Linked DNA regions of Rattus norvegicus. The protein of the gene in region 2 binds, or shares a complex with, the protein of the main gene of each other region. Each region holds a gene or a part of one and is shown on either strand. Other genes may lie near its edges. The genes, in order: Unc13a and Rims2.

Region 1 (9,683 bases), on a different chromosome or scaffold from region 2:
AGTTCAAATCCCAGCAACCACATGGTGGCTCACAACCATCTGTAATGGAATCCTCTCCTTGTGTGTTGAAGACAGTGACAATGTACTCATAAAATAAATAAACAGACCTTTAAAAAAGAAGGAGGAGGAGGAGGAGGAGGAGGAGGAAGAGGAGGAGGAGGAGGAGGAGGAGGAGGAGGAGGAGGAGGAGGAGGAGAAGAAGAAGAAGAAGAAGAAGAAGAAGAAGAAGAAGAAGAAGAAGAAGAAGAAGAAGAAGAAGAAGAAGACTGCAGCTGTCTTCAGACACCAGAAGATGGCATCAGATCTCATTACAGATGGTTGTGAGCCACCATGTGGTTGCTGGGATTTGAACTCAGGACCTCTGGAAGCGCAGTCAATGCTCTTAACCACTGAGCCATCTCTCCAGCCCCTAAATGTTTTATTATGATTATTTTTATGTGTATGGATGCTTTGTCTGCATTTGTGTCTGTGCATCATGTATGTGCGTCAGGCGCGCACAGAGGCTGGAAGAGGATGTCGGGTCCTTTGGATCTGGAGTTACAGACAGTTCTGAGCTGCCCCGTGGTTGCTGGGAAACAAACCCGGGGTCCTCTGTAAGAGCAGCCAGTTCTCTTAACTGCTGAGCAATCTCTCCAGTCCTTTAATTCCTACTCTTAAGTGCATAAGGAACCTGGTTTGGAATGTCCATGGTGTGACATCGGATGACCTAAGCTTCCTGGTGCTCCTGCCCAGGTGGGATGGTCACCTGGATATCAACACAGTTCTGTGCCCAGCTGAGGTAAGGAGCCTTCAGAAGACTCACTTCGACCTCCAACTTCACCCTGTCACTCTTCCTGCAGAACACCAATTCTAACACTGACCTCTGACCTCTCACTGCTGTCCTGACCTCTGCCTTTACCTGCAAGATTGACCCCTTACACGGCTTCTCCAGTCTCAGGCCTCCAAGTGTGATTACTACAGATTTGGAAAAGTCCAGCTTCCATGGGGCTAGCACGTGGAGCCAGAGCATCCCAACAGGGCCAGGAGAGTTGAAGTAGGGGCCCTCACATCTGTCTACAAAGGGGCTCTAGAGCTGTGTGTTGTGGGTAGTGGGTGGGTGTGGATGGGCGTGGCCTGCTGACTGTGTTTGGGTGGTGAGCATGTTTTTTGGGTATGGGTGGAATGATGAGCATGATATTGTTGAGGAGGAGGGGTCTTAAGGGCGGTATATGGGCTGATGGACAGGTCTTGGTGGGCGTGGCCTACACGGTGGGCATGGCCTCCATGGTGGCCATAGACAGGAGTGGGCGTGGACTGGCTGTGTCACTCACCTCCTGCAGCTGCATGCGCACCTTGTTGAAGGCTCGCAACCAGTTGGCTTTGGCCCTGGACATGGCATCCTGCCCTTCCTGGCCCTCCTCAGCCTCTCGAGATCTGAAACTAAGCCAGGGAAGGCAGGCAGAGGCTTAGAACGGCTCTGTGGGATCCCAGCTTCCCGCTCCAACTCTGCCCACACAACGTGCTGCTCTCAGAGGCCCACAGAGCTCTCTGACTAGTGCCCTGCACCTCAGTTCCTCCGGATACCTCTCCTCAGACTTGGGGGGCTCTGCTTCCTGTGCACACTCCGCAGCTGCCTTCTCTTCAGGTGTGGCTGCCTTGGGGATGCCTTTGGACACATCGGGGGCCTCAATGGGCACAGCTGAAACTTTGTCTTCCTTCTGAGGTGCAGCTGTTGGGAAGCTGATCCGCTTGAACTCTTTGGGCTCAGCCACAGTGGTGTCCTCCTGCTGGGTATAGCTGGCCAGGTCATCAGGCACCTCCTCCTCCTCCTCCAACTCCAATTCCTCTTCCTCCAACTCCTCCTCCTCCTCCAACTCCTCCTCTTCCAACTCCTCTTCCTCGGGCAACTCCTCATCTTCCAGGTCCTCCAGGTCCTCCAGGTCCTCCTCATCCTGGTCCCAGCGGGGTGAGTCCTTGTGGTAGCTCACAGAGCTGTGGCAGGAGTGATAAGAATCTCGGTCCCTCTCGTCATCCAGCTCTGAGCCCTGTAGGCTGTGCTCATCCGGGTCGAAGTCCTCACTCAGCTGGGAGCTGCCCTGGCTCAGCTCCCCACTGGAAGCATAGCGGCTGCTGCCTGTGGGGCTGTAGAGAAACAGTCAGACCTTGGCTACCCACTGTCCCACACACACACACCATCCCCCCACCATCCCCCCCACACACACCCCCACATCATCCCCCCCACACACACCATTCCCTACACACACACCATCCCATACACACCATCCCACAAACACTATGCCCCACACACGATCTCCCCACACCATCCCCCCACCATTACACACACACCATCCCCCCACACACACCATCCCACACACCACCCCCATACACACCATCCCACACACACACACCATTCCCTACACACACACCATCCCACACACACACACACCATCCCACACACACACACACACCATCTCACACACACACACCATCCCCCCCACACACACACCATCCCACACACACCATCCCACAAACACTATGCCCCACACATGATCTCCCCACACCATCCCCCCACCATTACACACACACTATCCCCCACACACACACACCATCCCACACACCACCCCCATACACACCATCCCACACACACACACACCATTCCCTACACACACACCATCCCACAAACACTATGCCCCACACACGATCTCCCCACACCATCCCCCCCACCATTCCACACACACCATCCCCCGCCACACACACACCATCCCACACACCACCCCCATACACACCATCCCACACACACACCATCCCACACACACACCTTCCCCCCCACACACACACCATCCCACACACCACCCCCATACACACCATCCCACACACACACACCATTCCCTACACACACACCATCCCCCACACACACACCATCCCACACACACCATCCCCCCCCACACACCCCCACACCATCCCACACACACACACCATCTCACACACACACACCATCCCACACACACACACACCATCCCACACACACCATCCCCCCACACACACCACCCCCACACACCATCCCTCAACACACACACCATCCCACACACACACACCATCCCCCCCACACCATCCCCCACACACCATTCCCCCCACACTCCACATATACACCATACACACACACCATCCCCCCCACACTCCACATACACACCATACACACACACACATACACACACACATACACGCACACACACACACACCATCACCCAGGGGTGTGCTCAGCAAAGCCAGAGTGCCTACTGTGTGCTCACTCCTGCTCAATAGACCAGGAACAAAGGTGTGAGACCAGGACCCAGGCCTGTAAGCCCACGAAATGAGTGGATTGAGCACCTACCAGGGACTCCTCCTTCTCTGCCCCAGGAGCACAGGCCCACCTATCAGCCACACGTTTGCTTATCGTGGATTCAGCAGCCCAGGTGTTTGTGTTGCTGCTCAAGACGGCAGGAACCTGGGGCACTCGAGCCAGGCACTTACTTGGCACGAATTGAGCCCCTATTGGGTACATGCTGCTGTCCTGGCATCGAGAAGCACTGGCTTAGCTGAGATGCACAGACGCTTACGGGTGCAGCTTCAGCCATCTGGACAATCCCAGCCTGAGCACCCACTCCCCTTTCCCTGCAGCCCCTGACATGCTGCCACGTCCAGCCATCCATTATAAGCTCCTAACGTTCAACCTAGATTATCCCATACATAACCTGTGCCTGCCCATAGCCAAACCACCTTGACTGTCAGTTGGATGTGTTACTACAGTCATTCTGATGTCAGCCAGGGGCCATGCGCACACACCCCCTAGTGGTGAGGTTTCAACTGCACCGAAGGCCTGAGCTGGCAGAGAGGGGCATGGCTGGAGTCCACTGCTCCTGCTCACTAAGGGTAGGAATTGGCTATACCAAGATTCTTCCCTACTGGCTTCCACAGGCTGAGTCTGAATCCATTCCAATGAATCCCCTGGCCCCTCGACTCCCTGCCAGGGTCCCTGACCCTTGATGGAAACCTTACTTCACCTTTGATGGGGAGATCCCAGCATCGTGCTCCAGAACGCCCTCCATGATGTCCCTGTCCTCAACTGACCCCATAGCAGGTCCTGGTCCACTCATGTTCTTTGCAGCTGCATGAGCCAGCATTGGCTACAACAGGCAACGTGGGGATCAGGGTGGTGGCCTCAGCACACAGACTCTGCCTTGAGTCCGTCGCTGCTCCTTAGGCCTGCACAGCCTCCCAGCAGCCAAGCTTAGGGGGCTCGTACCCTGTCTCACCATCTGTCCCGCCCAGAGATTGCCACCACCAGTGGAATGTGAGAGTACTTGCCGCTCAGTTGGCACAGGGCCTGGGTAGCATATGTGAAGCCTTGGTTTCCATCCCCAGCATGGCATGAACCAGGAGTGGTACCTGTCATTGCCACGGTAGGTAAGGGCAGGAAGCACGTGGAGCCAGGACATTTAAAGGGAGCTTGTACACAGGACGGGAGCTGGCAGCTAGGCCTTGGTTTTGTTTGTTTTTTGTTTTTGTTTTTGTTTTTTGAGATAGGGCCTCGTGTAGCCCAGGCTAGCCTGAAACTCCCTATATAACTAGAAAAGGCTCTGGATGCTACAAGAAAGTGCCAAGGACTAGCACAGGGCTCAGTGGGTATAAGTGCTTGCCACCAAGCCTGGTGACCCGAATTCAAAGCCTGGGACCCACAAAGCAGCGGTGAAAAGCCAACAAGTTGTTGTCTGATTCCCTAACACACATCATAAAACACGTACCCCCCCAAAAAAAAAACCAAAATAAGTGTAATTTTAAAATGCAAATAGAAATGTTCTGTGAGATGGGCCCGTGCATTCCCGGCCACGCCCCAGTCCCACAGCCACCTGAGTGCCCGCGGCTCAGAGAACTCTTCATAGCTGTGCATGGAGTCGCTGTAGGACTCCCGGGACCCCAGAGGGGGTGGCCGCACGGAGTACTGGTGCACCGAAGCATTGGGCTGCGAAGTCGTGTAGTAAGGCGGTGGGATGCTGTTGCTCGTCTCACTCCTATAATCACTGTCCCGGTCATCCACGGCACTGTCGGGATCATCATCTGCAGGGAAGAGGAGGAAGAGGAAGGGTGAGGACGGGAGAGCACACAGTGGGTCTAAACCGGCCTCCCTCTGGGGTGTCTTCATCCTCTGCTACCGCAGCACTGACAGAGGCTCTAGCAGGAGGGAGGACAGAAGGGAAGCTTCCGGTGTGCCAGCTGTGGGGCCTGGGAGGACGGTGACCCAGCTGTGCCACCTGAGAGGATGAGGATCCACTGTCTGAGATGAGGCCAGTGCTGTGAAGGAGACTCGGATCTCCAGGAGCCTCTCGCGCTCACTTCCTAGCAGAGCACGCCCTTTGGCGCCCTCTGGCGGCCGCTGAACAGATGTCAATCAGGACCGTTTGCTGTGCTCACCGCTCACCGCAGCACCTGTGTGTACTAAAGCTAAGTACAGAAAAGCCAACCCGATTGGAGTTCTGTGCTTTCTATCAATTGTTTATAAAATTATGATATTGTGCCGGACATGGTGGCGCATGCCTTTAATCCCAGCACTTGTGAATTAGAGGCAGGTGGATCTCTGTGTGTTTGAGGCCAGACTAGTCTATACACAGTAAGTTCCAGAACAACCCGGGCTACACAGAAAAACCCTGCCTCGAAAAAAAAATATTACATGAATACGTTGTGGGGGCACATGTGGAACAGCATGTGTATGGAAGCCAGAGGAAATATTGAAGGAATCGGCTTCTCCTGTGGGCGTCTGAGATGGAACTCAGATGAGCTAACCTTTACCCACTGAGCCATCCCACCTGCCCCAACATGCGGTTTTTGACCCAACAACCTACTACTTTGGTTTTGAGAGAATCATCTGCTTTGGGCTCCACTAGCTTCCCTTTGACTCAGCAACCCCTTCAGCCAGACTGGGGCTTTAACAGTCTCTCTGCTTTCCACAGCCGGCACCAGAACTGAGGGCCTTGTGTATGTTGGGCTAGCCTTAGGGTCGACAAGGGTCAGATGGCTTAGGAAACTGGGACATGGCCCTGACTGCTGTTGATGACCAGGCCCCACTGAGGGAGCATCTGCGTGACATGGGGCCACTTCCAGATCAGCAGGGGGACAGAGACATGGATGTGGGGGTGAGGAGCCTTGGGGTTCCTAAGATGCCCACTTCCCTGAGAGCTTGTTACTTACTCTGTTCTCCCCAGCCAAAGTAATTCCAGTTGCCTAGGAAGGAACAGGCACAATGAGCCTCAGCCACCCTCTTCACCCCAACCCCCACCCGGGGGGCCCCTCAAAAGGCAGGCAGGCTTCTGACCGTCCCCCCAGGGCAGCACTTTCCCAAGTCCCCTTATCATTTCCAGCATAGGAATTTTAAAAAGCAAAACAAAACAAAAGACAAACCACCAAACAAACAAACAGAACCCCACAGGGGGTGTGCCTCCCCCTCCGGCAGCCTGAGGGCCTGAGGATCTGAGACAGTATCTCACAGGCTCTTGGGCCCCCCAACCAGGCTAGACCAGGCTGGGCTGAGAGCCACTTCAGTGATTGACAGGAGCAGTGCAGCCTGGCTCTGCAGTGGCTCACTACTGCTCAGAAACCCGAGGCAGGAGGATGGCTGGAGCCCAGGAGTTCTGGTGAGGCTGAGTCACACAGGAGCCAGTGTCCCTGGGACAGTGGTGGCTGATGGAATGGGACGGGGTCCCTCAGCCCTGGACTCCATGCCTGGCTTGGCCCTGGCTGTCACTTTCTTAGGCCATCCAGGCAGCTGCTGGGATACAGCAAAGCAGGAGTCGCACACCAGACTGGGCTGCTGGATGGAGTGGAGCGGAGCGGGCGGCACTCACAGCACTGGCTGCTGGGCACCGGCAGTGGCTTGTCCTGCTGGTCCTGAAAGGAGTACTGTGAAGGGGACGGTGTGTCAGGGACAGTGAACACGGCTCCCTCTGGTAAGCCCAATACATTCGACTTTAGGAAGCCACAGAGCAGACAGAGAAACAGAAGGCGACCAAAGAGGCGCGGGCGGTAGCCAAGCAGCCCTTTACTGGGTCCCTCCCCCCACCCCGTGAACACCACATGGGTCTGAGCTGTGTGTTGGGACACTCTGAGCACAGAAGGGAGAGGGGAGAGCGGCCAAAGGCTGGGCTGGCAGGGAAGATGGGACATTTCACGTCTCCCTGTGTCCCTGGAGAGGTTGGATCAGGAAGCTCACCTCGAGGGGACTCACCTCATCTTGGTCACGCATGGCATTCAGCTGCTCCAGCTTCTTGGCCCAGTAGCGCGCCTCCTCCTCGGGGATGTCTGCAAGCAAAGCCTCCATGTCCCGGGCTCTTGGGAGAGCTGGCCTCCCTCCCTTGGGACCAGGTTCAGAGATGTGGGGAGCAGCCTGGGGAACCCCAGGGATGGATGGAGGTGGAGGGGGGCAGGAGGCCAGGGGCTCCGGCAGGGATTGTGAAGACTTTGAAGGCCATGGCCTCCCCAGCTCAGTCCTCAAAGTGGGCACTGTGACCTTGGGTCTGGCCAAACCCTGTGACTCACCCAAAGGCAGCTCAAAATGTGCGTCCAGGAGGATGCGGTGGAAGGTGGGGTCCTTGGTCCCACAGATCTCACTGTCTGCCATGATGGCCTGAGAGTCCAGTGTCAGCCATTCTCCCGGACCCTCCTGGGCATGAGTGAAGGCAAAGGATAGGGCTCAGGGCCCCAGGGAAGGGCAGGGTCCAAATACTGGCTGCACACCAGCCTCTCTTGAGGTAGCCTCCCTACCTGCTCCCGCTCACCTGACAGCAAAGGTTAGACCCCACTTCCCAGGTGAGAGACTTTACAGTTGTGGCTCCCGACAGTAGCCCCAGTTCCTGGCCACCCTGAGGAAGCTGCCCAAGGGAGTGAGACCGCCGCTGCCCCCCCCCCCACTGCTCCATAACACAAGCACTGTGGACAACTGGGGTCCATCTGACCCTCAATTTCTTTACTACTCCTACAATGACAATCTTCTGTGGAGAATATCGACCACTCCCTTGGGGCTTGGGCTGCCATCATGCTGGGCCACTGAGAACATCCTGGGTCCCCTTCATGCTACTTCTGGCTCTGGCTCTCATGGCTGCTGCTGCGTTTCCTCCCTTCCTTCCTTCAGTTATTTACTGATTAAATGACAAGTATGCTCTGGCGCCTTGTCAAAGCATGGGCCACCCTAGGTGCTGTTAGTCCCCAGGAGTAAAAGCATCAGCCTGGCTTCTGAGGAAAACCCCTGGACCCACAGGGCCAGGAAAGAGCAGGTTAGGCCCTTAACTGACAATACAGCCCTGATGGGATTCTCTGGTGTCCACTTTAAATCACTAGGTGGTAGCCCCAACTGAGCATGTTGGTGGGGGATGGGGGTGAGCAGGCCTCACCTTCTTTAGACCACAAGCCCCTGGGCCTCTGCCAGGCTCTCTTCTCCACCTGTCACTCACCTCATTGGACTGACGGATGGTCCGAAGTGGGATCCACACAGTACCCACCATTGTGTCCCAGATGAGACCCTTGTTCCACACCTCCACCGTCAGGCCCAGATCCAGGCGGTTGATCTCACTGTGTGCACAGCACAGGGGAATGGGAAGGAAAGAAGACAGGCTCAGAGAGGTCAGTGCACTGGCCTGAAGACACACAGCACACTGCAGTAGGAAGCCAGGCCTGGAGGAGCCGGTGCCAAGAATGGCAACACATTGGTTCATTCTCTGGAAGGGAAACTGAGGCCATGGGAGGGAGCATGTAGCTCAGACTATCACAGGCAGCCAGAGTTGCATCTGGGAGAAAAGGACTGGGAACAGAAGTTACCATCTCACCCTCCCCTCCATCTTACCGACCCTTCAGGGGTCCTGAGGCCCCAACAAGGCTGGGCAGGCAAGGAACACGCACCTCCCTGACAGTTCCCGACCATTCTCCTCTTGGGGTATAACTCAGGGTTCACTCCTGTAACGTGTGACTTCTCTGGGCTTCCTTTTCCTCATCTATTAAATGGGACTCACCATAGCAATCCCCTCAGGGTACTGAGCACAGTTGATTTAAAAGAATGAAAAAAATCATAAAATAGGGTGTGGCCCAGGTGGCTGGACATCAGGACAGATGCGACAAGGAACAGGTGTGTTGGCACACACCTTCGATATCAGCACTCGGGAGACTGAGGTAGAAGGATCAGATTTCAGGTTGTCTTTGGTAATACAGTGAGGCCAGCCTGGGCAACTTGAGACCCTGTCTTCGAAATAAATAAGAGAGCCTAACAGAGAGACCATTTTGTAAACGTGGACGGTGTGGCTGCCTGGCTGGGGATTGATGGAGGGTACAGGTATTCAGCGACTAGCATTTCTTGTGCACCCCCAACCGGATTGACTCCTGTGACCTGTACCCTCGGAGGTCACCGTGGGCTCCCACCCTCCTTGGGCTGAACAAGGCAGGAGTGATGAACCCCTCCGCGGTGAAGTGTGCAGAAAAGAAGCCAGGAGGTAGCAGCTTAGCAGCGGCTCAGGAAAGACTTCCTGGAGGGGGCGGCCAGCTGGAGGGGGGCGGTGAGAGGCTGAGAGGACAGAACTGAGGGAGCTGCTGGATGACACTGAGGTGGCTTACAGCGTTTATAATCTTTTCCTCTGCCTGGAGAGGAGCACACTATAGGGGATAAAGAGGAGGGTGGAGGAGCAGGC
Region 2 (10,303 bases):
CCTGGCCTCAGACATCACCAGACAGGACTAAGCTGGCCTTTAAATCCCTCCCTAGAATATCGGGTCTGGGATCGCGAAAGACAATGTGCAGAATGGTGGAGCTGTAACACAGGAACCCGGAAGTCACTGGCTACTATGGCTTACTGGACGTGTGCTCAGGGAGATAGGACAAAGAATGAGCGGGGAAAAAAGAGAAAAAAAGAAAAGAAAAGAAAGAGAAAACCAGAAGCAGCCATGTGAAGTAGGAGTGACTGCAAGACAGGAAGAGGGTTCTCCTGATTTCCTTTAGATCCATGTGGGACCTAGATGACTCTGTTCATAGATTTGGTGAAAAACCTCTGCGAAAACATTATTCACATTGAAAAGAAACCTCATTTCCAGATTTGAAATAGAGCAACATTTCAAGGCTAGAACTGAAACTATTATTTTACATTGGCATTTTCCTCAAATATCCTTCACCTTATAAATAAATATATAGCAGTAGGTAGATCTCCGTCCTTCCTATCAACAACCGGACAACCTGAGGTAGAACAAAGACAGAATGATCTTCTTCCACTGCTCTAATGGCCTAGAGCATCGCAGCAGAGAGCATTTTCATGTGTGGGTGTAGGCCTCAGTGGTGATGGGAGGCCATCACAAGACCTTACTAGTCAGCTTCTTCTGTAAGCCATTGTATACAGAATAACTCCACAGGGAAACTTGGTCCTATTGCTGGCTTAGAATTTAACGAATCTAGTAAAGTATGAGGGAAAACAGGGGTCTGATCTGACTTCCACATTAAAGTTTTCAATTACTTTAAGGCAGTGGTTCTCAAGCTGTGGGTTGTGGAGGTCAAATAGCAGTCTCACAGAGGTCACCTCAGACCATTGGAAAATACAGATATTTATATTACAATCCATGAACAGTAGTAAAATTACAGTCATGAAGTAGCAATGAAAATAATTTTATGGTTGGGGGTCACAAAACATGACGGACTGTAATAAAGTGTTGAGAACCACTGCTGTAAGTGCACCATGGACCTAAGATAATGAAAGATGCTGATTCTTAGGTTAAATCTGAGCTGAAGCTGTTCATTTGCTTTTAATTCCAAAATATCTTACTTTACTTTGTCTTAAGTACAAATCTAATATACAAATTGTGTCATTCCTAAATGTGTATGTACTCATTTAATAAAATGATTTTTCATATAAAATCATAATTCGAGAAAATTATCTCTATAAAAAAATCCACAATGGCCTATACCGCTCTCTCTTGGCCAGTTGGCTGTGGAGGATGTATTAATACCATGACCAAACACTGTACAGGGAGAGTTAGTTTTACTGGCATTCAGTTTGTAAAGAACAGCACCATTCCGTTAGTCAGCATGAGTAGCTACACCTGTTTCTGCACATAGCAATGCTGTACCGACATTCATGGAAACATCTTACCTCAACAGAACAAAGGTGAAGGTCTATCTGCAATCAAATAGCACGGTTTCTAAGACTTAAGTAACTCCACACCAAGATTCACATCCTACTAAATGAGTGGTCTCTTAAAAATGTGTGTTTGTCTACAGAATCCTTTTGTTGCTGAGATGGGTTCTGTATAGCTCCTGGTGGCCTCAAATGTAGACTGGGAATTTTAAGCTTGCACCATTCTGACTACCTAAATGGATCCTTTTACGTCAACAACCCTTCACAGCCTCACGATGACATGCAGATAATTTTCCCTCAGATTTTTAGTGTTTTTAAGCTACTTTCATTTGCTGTTTTTTTTTGTTTAAGATTTTATTTATTGTCTGTATGTAAGTACACTGTAGCTGTCTTCAGACACACCAGAAGAGGGCATCTGATCCCATTACAGATGGTTGTGGGCCATCATGTGGTTGCTGGGAATTGAACTCATGACGTCTGGGAGAGCAGTCAGTGCTCTTAACTACTGAGGTATCACTCCAGCCCCTTGTTGATTTTCTTATAATTTAATTTTCAACTGGCAGGCATGCAGAAAGAATTGAGTGCTAATTTACTTAGTTAGTAAATTGTGTATGGTTGCCAAATTATATTTCAATCAGAGGTGGCTAGGTGAACTTTTGGGGAAGTAAAATTTTCACATAGTATATGTGTAACTAAACAAGACCCATGAGCTTAGAACCACATGGGACATGTAGATGGCCTTTGGGAGACCCATGAGCTTAGAACCACATGGGACATGTAGATGGCCTTTGGGAGTCCCTCAACCATTAGCAACTTTGCCACCCAAACATTTTTTTCTTGGACTCAATAGGTGGAAAGCTGAAGAGTTGTTTCTATAATTACAAAAGGAAATGTTGCCTTAAAATAGTCCCACATTCTTGTAAGTACCTGAAATATTCAAATATCCTATACATACTAATGGTCTGTATCAGGAAGAGTCAGTGTTAGAACCAAATATATTACATAGTGAAAATATACTTGTTCAAATAGGGATCAATGCTAAATAAGTGAATGCAATTTATAAATTGTTAAATAACAGGAAAAGTAGGATTGCCATCAGTTTTATGTAAAATAACCCCATGGATAGGGAGACCATCTTTCTGGAATACACCCAGGGGAAAGGATGAAAAAACAAACTCACAAAGTATGCAGAAAAGATGAAACAAGGACCAGTCTATATAGTGAATTAACTCACTCTGCTTACAGAGACATCCTTTCAGTGCAGACTCAAGTCAGTCACACTGAGATACGTTACCTGTAAGCAATGGGTTTAACTTGTATATTTTCTCTACAGTAAAACAACGAAAATGACCCCCTGAAGAACTTCCATGAAATAAAAGAAAGGAATACAGAGAAGCTGCACAGTTAATGGCAATTATTATTATTGTGCTTAGTTTTCAAGACCATAGACTCCTACAAGGAGATACAATTGTTATGAAGTCAACAGTGTAAACACTTTAGTCAACAGTGTAAACTCTGACCCACCTTATGGGTTTAGATCGTAACTCTATTCTTTACTAGGGGAGGAGTCTGGAGAAACAGTTTTCAAGTATGTGCAGGATGCTGTTTTATGAGATGGTTAGAAACTCATGTTACTGATACCCAAATCAGCATTTACACACTCTCAGGGGACCCTTCTTTAAATCCTAAGTAGTAAGAGAAGGGCATTGCTAGCTTTGACATGCATCTGATAATTTAGTCAATCACAGTGATTAGCAGACCACCATACCCATTAAATAAGGATTTCCCTTTCTTGTGAGGTGGACCAGGTCTCACAGTTATGACTATAATAATGCTTCCAAGCTTCACAAACTTTATGTGTTCTGCACGGGTGTCTTAAAAGAAAAAACACTGCGAAGAAGCCCTGCTCTGGACCAGGGTTCTGAGTCTCACAGACCTCTGGGGGGTGGGGGGGATGCTGAAAGGGGAAAGGAGTGCTGGGAAACCAGGGGGAAGTTTAGATCCATTTCTCTTGGCTTTAAGTTGACACCAAGCCAGAGAAGAATCCATTTGTGGAGAGCTTTCTTGTTACAAGGAGAGACATATAGGGAACATTTAAAAATGCTACCTTCCTTGTGCAACATTTTGTATTGGCAACTCAAGAAGCAATATTATGGCACAGAAACCTGTTCCCATTTCTCATGTGTATATGCAGACACTTCCTTTTCGCATTTGCATGTATGAGACACAGTGTACTTTCAATTTTGAAAAATCATCACATTTTGTTTAAGCTTTTCCTACTATCTCAAAAAAATGCTTTTAGGATGGTATTTTGTAAACCCCTAAATCCTAATAATAACTTAAGAATGGAACTAGTTTCTATAAAGTAAACTCGATATTGAGGACTTGGCATTAAACATGCTTAGAAATAAATCTGCACCAGTCTATATTTTATTTAACTATATGTGTTCACAGGCATGCCTAACTTCGATTGTAGCAGCGTCACTACCTACTAGGTTGGTGAGTGTGCATAGTAAAGCATCTCGAGTACACAGCAGTGATTGTGACTCCAGACTTCAAGTGCTGGCTACAGTGACAACTGTCTAAGGAAGTCTTGGAATTTCTTTTTGCCTCAGTATCCTCATTTGTGAAACAGGGCTAATAAAGTTATGGGCCCTCAAGGCTACACACTGTAGGACCTAAGCAGTGCCTGGCTAGTAAGGGATTCTAAAAACTAGCTACAATTATGGGGGTCCAGTTATTCATTTTGATTGCTTTTAACTGTTTGACTTTTAGACATTTCCTAGAATTTCTAATAAATTATTATAGGAAAGTAGTCAAAAGTAAATGTATAAAACACAAACAAGAATATAAAAATGAAAAGTTATGTCTAAATAGTAAGTTATCTTATTGTTATATCTGTATTTATATGAGTCTTTATTTACAGGAAGTTAACATTGCAACAACAGCCAGAGAAAACTTGGAGAGTTACAGGGATTCAGTCTGAAGACTGACCATATCATTAATTGTCCTGTGGCCACTTTGTCACTCACTCCCTCACCAGAGCAAATATGGGAAAATTTATTTCTATCTGTTCTTAAAGCAGGTAATTAACTTCTCCTAAAATAAGGCTAGGCAAATTTCTAGTGAGAAGTCATTGTCACAGAATAAAAGAAAAGCACATCTTAATTAATTGTATAAATAGTGTTAACAAGATAACTAAGCTCCTCTGGGTATAGGCCTAAGGATGGACACAGTTTGCAAAGAACACTGTTTCTACATTATTTACATTAATTTACAAATTTTCAGTGTTGGTTGCAAAATTTTATGAGTTCTTCATCAAGGAAAAACAGGATCTGGTATTCAAAACTTTATGAAGGCCTGCGAATCTCTCAGTGAAAAGTTTAACAGGGCCAGTATTTCCCTTCACTTACACAGGCATCGTTGAACAGCACGGACAATCAGAATCACACTGCGCAGCTGGTAAACAAAGTTCCGAGCTAATACAGTGTAAACGCGCCTTTAGCGTCCACCTTCCACCTGTCCAGCGCATCTAGATAGTGGCTGTCAAAGGCCGGGGCACATAAAGTTTTACTGCAGCGGTCCTCAGCTTTCCCAGCATTTCTGTCCTCCAGATTATGCTGACAAAGAGACTGTGGACTTAAGAAGTAAACAAAAGCAAACGGATAGGGGGTACATAGGAGGCTCAACCTAACTCCCACCCAGTCTACATGCTCATTCCACTTCCAAGTGATCCATAATTCTAACTCCTTACTAGGACAACTATTTCCCAGGAGAGCCTGTGGAGCTCCGTGAACAACCCACTAACAGTGTTTCTCCGCCAGGTGCTCTAGGGGTCTCTTAGGCACAGTTCGGGCAGCAGAAGCTACTTGGAGTTCTCACCTGAGACCAACTCTCCCACCACGGAACCCAAGTGATCTACAACAGACACTCAGCCCAGGAAGGGTGGGAACGAACATGGGTCCTCACCTCCTTCATCTTCTTCCAGGGAGTTCATACAAGGAAAATAGCCAGCTAGAGCCTCAAAGGAGGCGGAGAGGCTGCTCCGGCTCTGAGAGCGCTGCATGGAGCGCCCCGCAGCACCCGTGCCCCCCAGGCCCTGCCGGCCCATCTTGGAGGAGGACCCGCTTTTCCCGCGGTACAAGATACGAGGCGTTTTGGCGGCTGTTGAGCGGAGACCGCTGCGGTCGGGGCCGGGTGGGTTCCGGTCCCTGCTTCCCCGGCCCGTGGCTGGGACCTTGGCTTTGCTGGGGAAGGATCAGGAGGAAAGCCGTCAAGAGAAGCAGCTGTTCACGGTGGAAGTCTGAAGTGTCACCCAGGGGAGCAGAGGATCCAGGACGCCGGAGCCGCTAGCCCGGGCGTCCTCCCTCGCCCCGAGATGCTGCTGATGCTGAGCCTCCGCCAATCGGAGGCTGGAGGGGGCGGCACCGTAGCGCTGGTGCCAGGGCGCACCTCAGGCTCTGGCCTGGGGTCTAGGTTGTAGCCGCTGCTGTCTCCTTTGGCATGGCCAGTGCCTTCCGGGCACTGTGACTAATTGGGTGGAATGAGTTAGACCTCTCAGAGTGATAATATATGGGCAAAATTCCTGGTAAAACTTTCCCATAGTAGTTTCTTTTCAGCAGCTGTTCACACTCCTCGGATTTAGGTAAGAGACACTGTCTTCAAGTCATAACCAGATTTTGTCCAGATCGTATGAAAACCTACATTAACCCTTTCGTTTGAAGTAATGGTAAACAGTCAACAGAAGATCTCTTTAAACAGACAACTGAGGCACCAGCAAGGGAAAACATACAACGAGGTCCATAAAGTTAGCATTCATTCTGGGAATGAATTCCTTCTTTCTCTACATAAAGCAATCACCTGCCTCTTGTTGCTAAAAATAACCCTATCAAGTGTAACATTACAGTGATGTACATTGTGTTACATCCTAGCATAAATTTGGAAGCAACACAGACATATCAAAAACAGCCGATAAGCAAAGTTACCACACGATTCTGCAAGTAAAACTCTGTCTCTGCTGTTTTACTAGGAGTCAGGGGAGTATCCTAAGTTCACACACACACACACACACACACACACACACACACGAATGTACACATGTTTTTTAAGTATGGTAGTACTGGGGGATTCACTATTCAGGCTCAGTTCTCTAAGATCCTAATGAATACCATGTATCTGTAGATGCTCACAATACAACAGTGAACTGAGCAGCTAAAACTCCCCACACAGGGGAGAAGTTACAATCACACTCTAGAAGGCAGACATTAACAGGAACAGTAATGCAATAGAGGCCAGGGGCCTGGATGAGGGACAAGTTAGAAAGGGTCCGAGGTCACAGTGCCCAGCTGACAGGTGAGAAGAGGTTTGCAAGTAGAAAGAAGCCCCTGAAGGTGTTGTCTGATGTGGACCACAGAATAGCTGAAGCCAGGCCGGGAGCACATGAGAAGGGACTTAAAACAGGATGTGCCACAAGTGACAGTTCAGAAAGAATGAGAGAAATGCATACAAAGAACAGTTCTCTCACTTCTTTCTAAAACTTCCAAAACTTTCCACACAAAACCCTACCATTGCGACAAAAGGTACTGTTATTTAGATCAAGTTTCCTGTTTTCCAGAGAGAGAGAGATTCATCCTTTCTCATTAACATTCACACAGCTCCAATCCAGTTCCCTTTCAGTATTCACTTTCCCACTATTAAAACCATAGAAATCTGCAAATAACTCACTTTTATTGACAGAATGGAAGCTTTTTACTATTAAATAAAAATTTTATTATAGGAATAAAGGAAAATATCACAAACTCACAGAAACAGAAAGGATTTATTTAACGTCTCTGATGTTTTTTGAACTTCTAGCCATGAGTTCTGAAAACAATTGACTAGCACTTGATCAACAATTTACTTATTTTAAAATGTTTATGGTGTGTGTACACGTGTGTGCATGTGAGTGTTGGTGCTCTCGGAGCCAGGAGCCAGAGATGTGAGAGTCTCCCTAGAGCTGGGGTTGTGAGCCACCTGATGTGAGTGCTGGAAATTAGATGACGTAACTTCTACGTCACTAGGCTCTTGATCAGCATTTTAAAGATGGAAACTGACACATAGGGAGGTGGCTCACAATGTGACACATAAGGAGGTGGCTCACAATGTGACCAGGCGATTCTACTCTCACCTGGCAATTGAAAGAATGATCTGTAATTACTGAGGAAACTTCAATTCCACTTCATTAGTCCTATGTTCACTAGTTTTCAAAAATATTTCTAGCTTCACATAAAGATGTATATTTAGCACTATTTGCATTTTGTTTTTGAGATGGGACTCACTATGCAGCCCAGAGTGGCCTCAAACTTACCATCTTGCTGCTTGGTCTCCTGAGTACAGGAAATAGCGGTGTGCCAACATATGTGGGTGGTTGATACATTTTTAACAAGTTGAAGCATTATTCCCTATTCTTTTTAGACATATCTACTGTCACCTCAATCAACTTAAAACTATAGAAAAAAACTGCCAGCAAAAACTGGAAACTGTCCAAATCTAAGATATGAGTAGTACACATAGTACATGAATATGTGTTTAGCATGTGTAGCTGCATGGTTAGTACATGCATATGCAGTTTACTATGTATAACTACGCACTGTACATATTTTTGGATTTACTTCTTATATGTTGAGTCACTATATTTCATTACACAGAAAGAAATATATGTCTAGAATATTATAACCCAGGATCCCACTTTATTTTTAATTCTCTTATTCATCCAAACATTAAAGATTAAGAGTCACGATGTAATTGATTGCCTTCCAAAAATAAAATCCTGAAAAACTCTACCAGAAAACATGGAAATCATCATTCTGAAGGAAAGATAAACAGATATGTTTTGCATATACTAGTATAGTATGCCATTTGATAAATACAAATAAATATTTTACAGTTTATAAAACCACCTCACTCTAATATATCAATTATTACATCAATCCTGACCGAGTGTTTCCTGGCAGATGTGCTGAAAGAAACTCCACAGTGTTAAGTACATCCACTCTATGGCAGGGCAGGTCTGTGCCCACACAGACTGGCTCTAGGTTAGTCCCTGTATACCATGCCACAGATGCTTTGTGTGTTCATGTAATAAAACTAAGGGGACAGAAAGACAGGGAACAAAGCTGACAACCTCCATTATAATTATACTGTACATTTATTCATGAAAATAAATGCTGACAACCCAACCTTAAAGTCAGACTGCTTATTTTATCTACATGACTATGTTAAATACATGTTTTCCTTATAAAACATAACAATCCATATGGCCTAACCATAAGGTCTGAAATAAGCAATCTTTTTTTCTCATTCTTAACATTATGTCACTATGGTACAAATTAGGTGTACACCTTGAAAAGTTCATGTTTCAAAGGTACTTTTAGTTTTCACTTGGCAGATTTTGAAAGTGAAGAACAAATGTTACACTTTAGCAACTGGCCCATCCAGAACTTTAGAAAATTAAAGAGGTAAAAATATATTTAAATAAGATAAGAGGAAAAAAACTAAGAGAGATGAAGAGGTCAACAGTTTCCTTATTTATGCAGTAAGATTTATAATGGCATTTGACATTGAATCTGCCCATGGAAGTAAGAAAAACTACTAACTAAGCTAAAACATGGTGATAAGATTTGACCTGTGGCATGAATGGAGGAAAATACTTAAAGATCAAAGTCAGATGCCAGGAAAAGAAGTTAGACTGGGGCTTCAGAGGAGGGACAAATATTTGGATACACCAATCTTAGCTATGTCCCTTTGAGCATAGTAATATATGATGGTGACAGCTCAATTTATGTTCTTCAGATACACTACCAACTTAAGAGAACAGCATGAGGTAGTTACTCTCAGTGTTTTTACTTCACAGATGACAAGGCTGACAAAACATTCATCCAGTAAGTATTTGTTGAGTGCATATCACATGCCAGACATGCTGCCATCACTAAGGATACAGTAATTGACAAACAGAAATTGACAGGAATCACTACCCTCTTGCAGTGCCCATACTAGTAAGAGAGTAGCTAACATTTATAAATCACTTAATGATAAATCTTTACCCCGTCAAAGTCTCCATAAATCACTACACAGGTAAAGAGCACTCTGCGAGGAATACTATCAACACCCACCATACACTACGAGGAAACTGAGGCACACATTATTAAAAGTGAAGCCAGCAGCAGTAAGCTTGCACCACCGCGTAACACACAGACACAGGCACAGCACTGAACCCAGTACTGTTGCACACTCCAACTAAAGCTCAGGCGTGGTGGTTTTCGAAGATAAAGAGAAATGAGCTAAGATGTAAACTGTTTCTCCTATTCTGTTCAAATACAAATTGCATCCATGATTGCAAAATGCATGCAGATTTCTCCCTAGCAGCAAGCCAGCAATCAGTTCTGCAGCAGTGGACACCAGTGGTGTTCTTCCCTAACACCATCTGGAGTCCCAGATCCCCCAGATCGAGGGCTCCGTGCCTATACATGTGATGGCACTTTAGATACCAGATTGCTTTAGCTGTGCTTCGGCTGTAGATCAGAGTTCCCACAAACCCCTCCTCCGCAGCTCACAGAACTCAGGTGTGCTGGTTTATTACAAAGGCTGTTGGCAGAGAAACACAGGAAACAATACAGAAGGAATTGTAGCTTCTATATACTCTCTTCGCCCACCACCCTTCAGCAACAAGTTCAGCTACCTAGGATCTCTCTAAACTGCCTCTCATGGTTTCTATGAAACTTAACAGGAGAGGCATCAGTGAAGTGGGGGCAGCTACATCGTCAAGATGTGATTAGGAAAGGGGATTATCGAATGCTAAGTAGACTGGGAGGGGCACTGCCTGCTCATTCAGATTCTTCAGTGCTCCCTTTGGT

What was found.
Region 1: the proteins of Rims2 (region 2) and Unc13a are in contact, whole or in part, in a crystal structure (PDB 2CJS), measured with the Rattus norvegicus proteins. Residues at the interface, in XP_063118965.1 of Rattus norvegicus: Asp102, Gly103, Cys104, Ser109, Gln112, Val123, Leu125, Ser127, Asn128, Lys129, Val134, Met135, Trp136; in NP_074052.2 of Rattus norvegicus: Tyr23, Ile36, Trp65, Leu69, Ile70, Trp71, Asp72, Thr73, Met74.

Annotation. Positions count from the first base shown.
Region 1 is NC_086034.1:18,398,795-18,408,477, forward strand, and holds part of Unc13a (protein unc-13 homolog A), read right to left. Parts: intron 8,578-9,683; coding exon 8,460-8,577; intron 7,673-8,459; coding exon 7,549-7,672; intron 7,312-7,548; coding exon 7,238-7,311; intron 6,913-7,237; coding exon 6,858-6,912; intron 6,238-6,857; coding exon 6,205-6,237; intron 5,077-6,204; coding exon 4,869-5,076; intron 4,146-4,868; exon of another isoform or gene 4,046-4,145; coding exon of another isoform or gene 4,023-4,045; intron 2,122-4,022; coding exon 1,564-2,121; intron 1,420-1,563; coding exon 1,311-1,419; intron 1-1,310. UniProt on the Homo sapiens protein: Plays a role in vesicle maturation during exocytosis as a target of the diacylglycerol second messenger pathway.
Region 2 is NC_086025.1:72,602,691-72,612,993, reverse strand, and holds the start of Rims2 (regulating synaptic membrane exocytosis protein 2), read right to left. Parts: upstream 5,707-10,303; 5' UTR 5,524-5,706; coding exon 5,382-5,523; intron 1,199-5,381; exon of another isoform or gene 1-1,198. UniProt on the Homo sapiens protein: Rab effector involved in exocytosis. May act as scaffold protein. Plays a role in dendrite formation by melanocytes.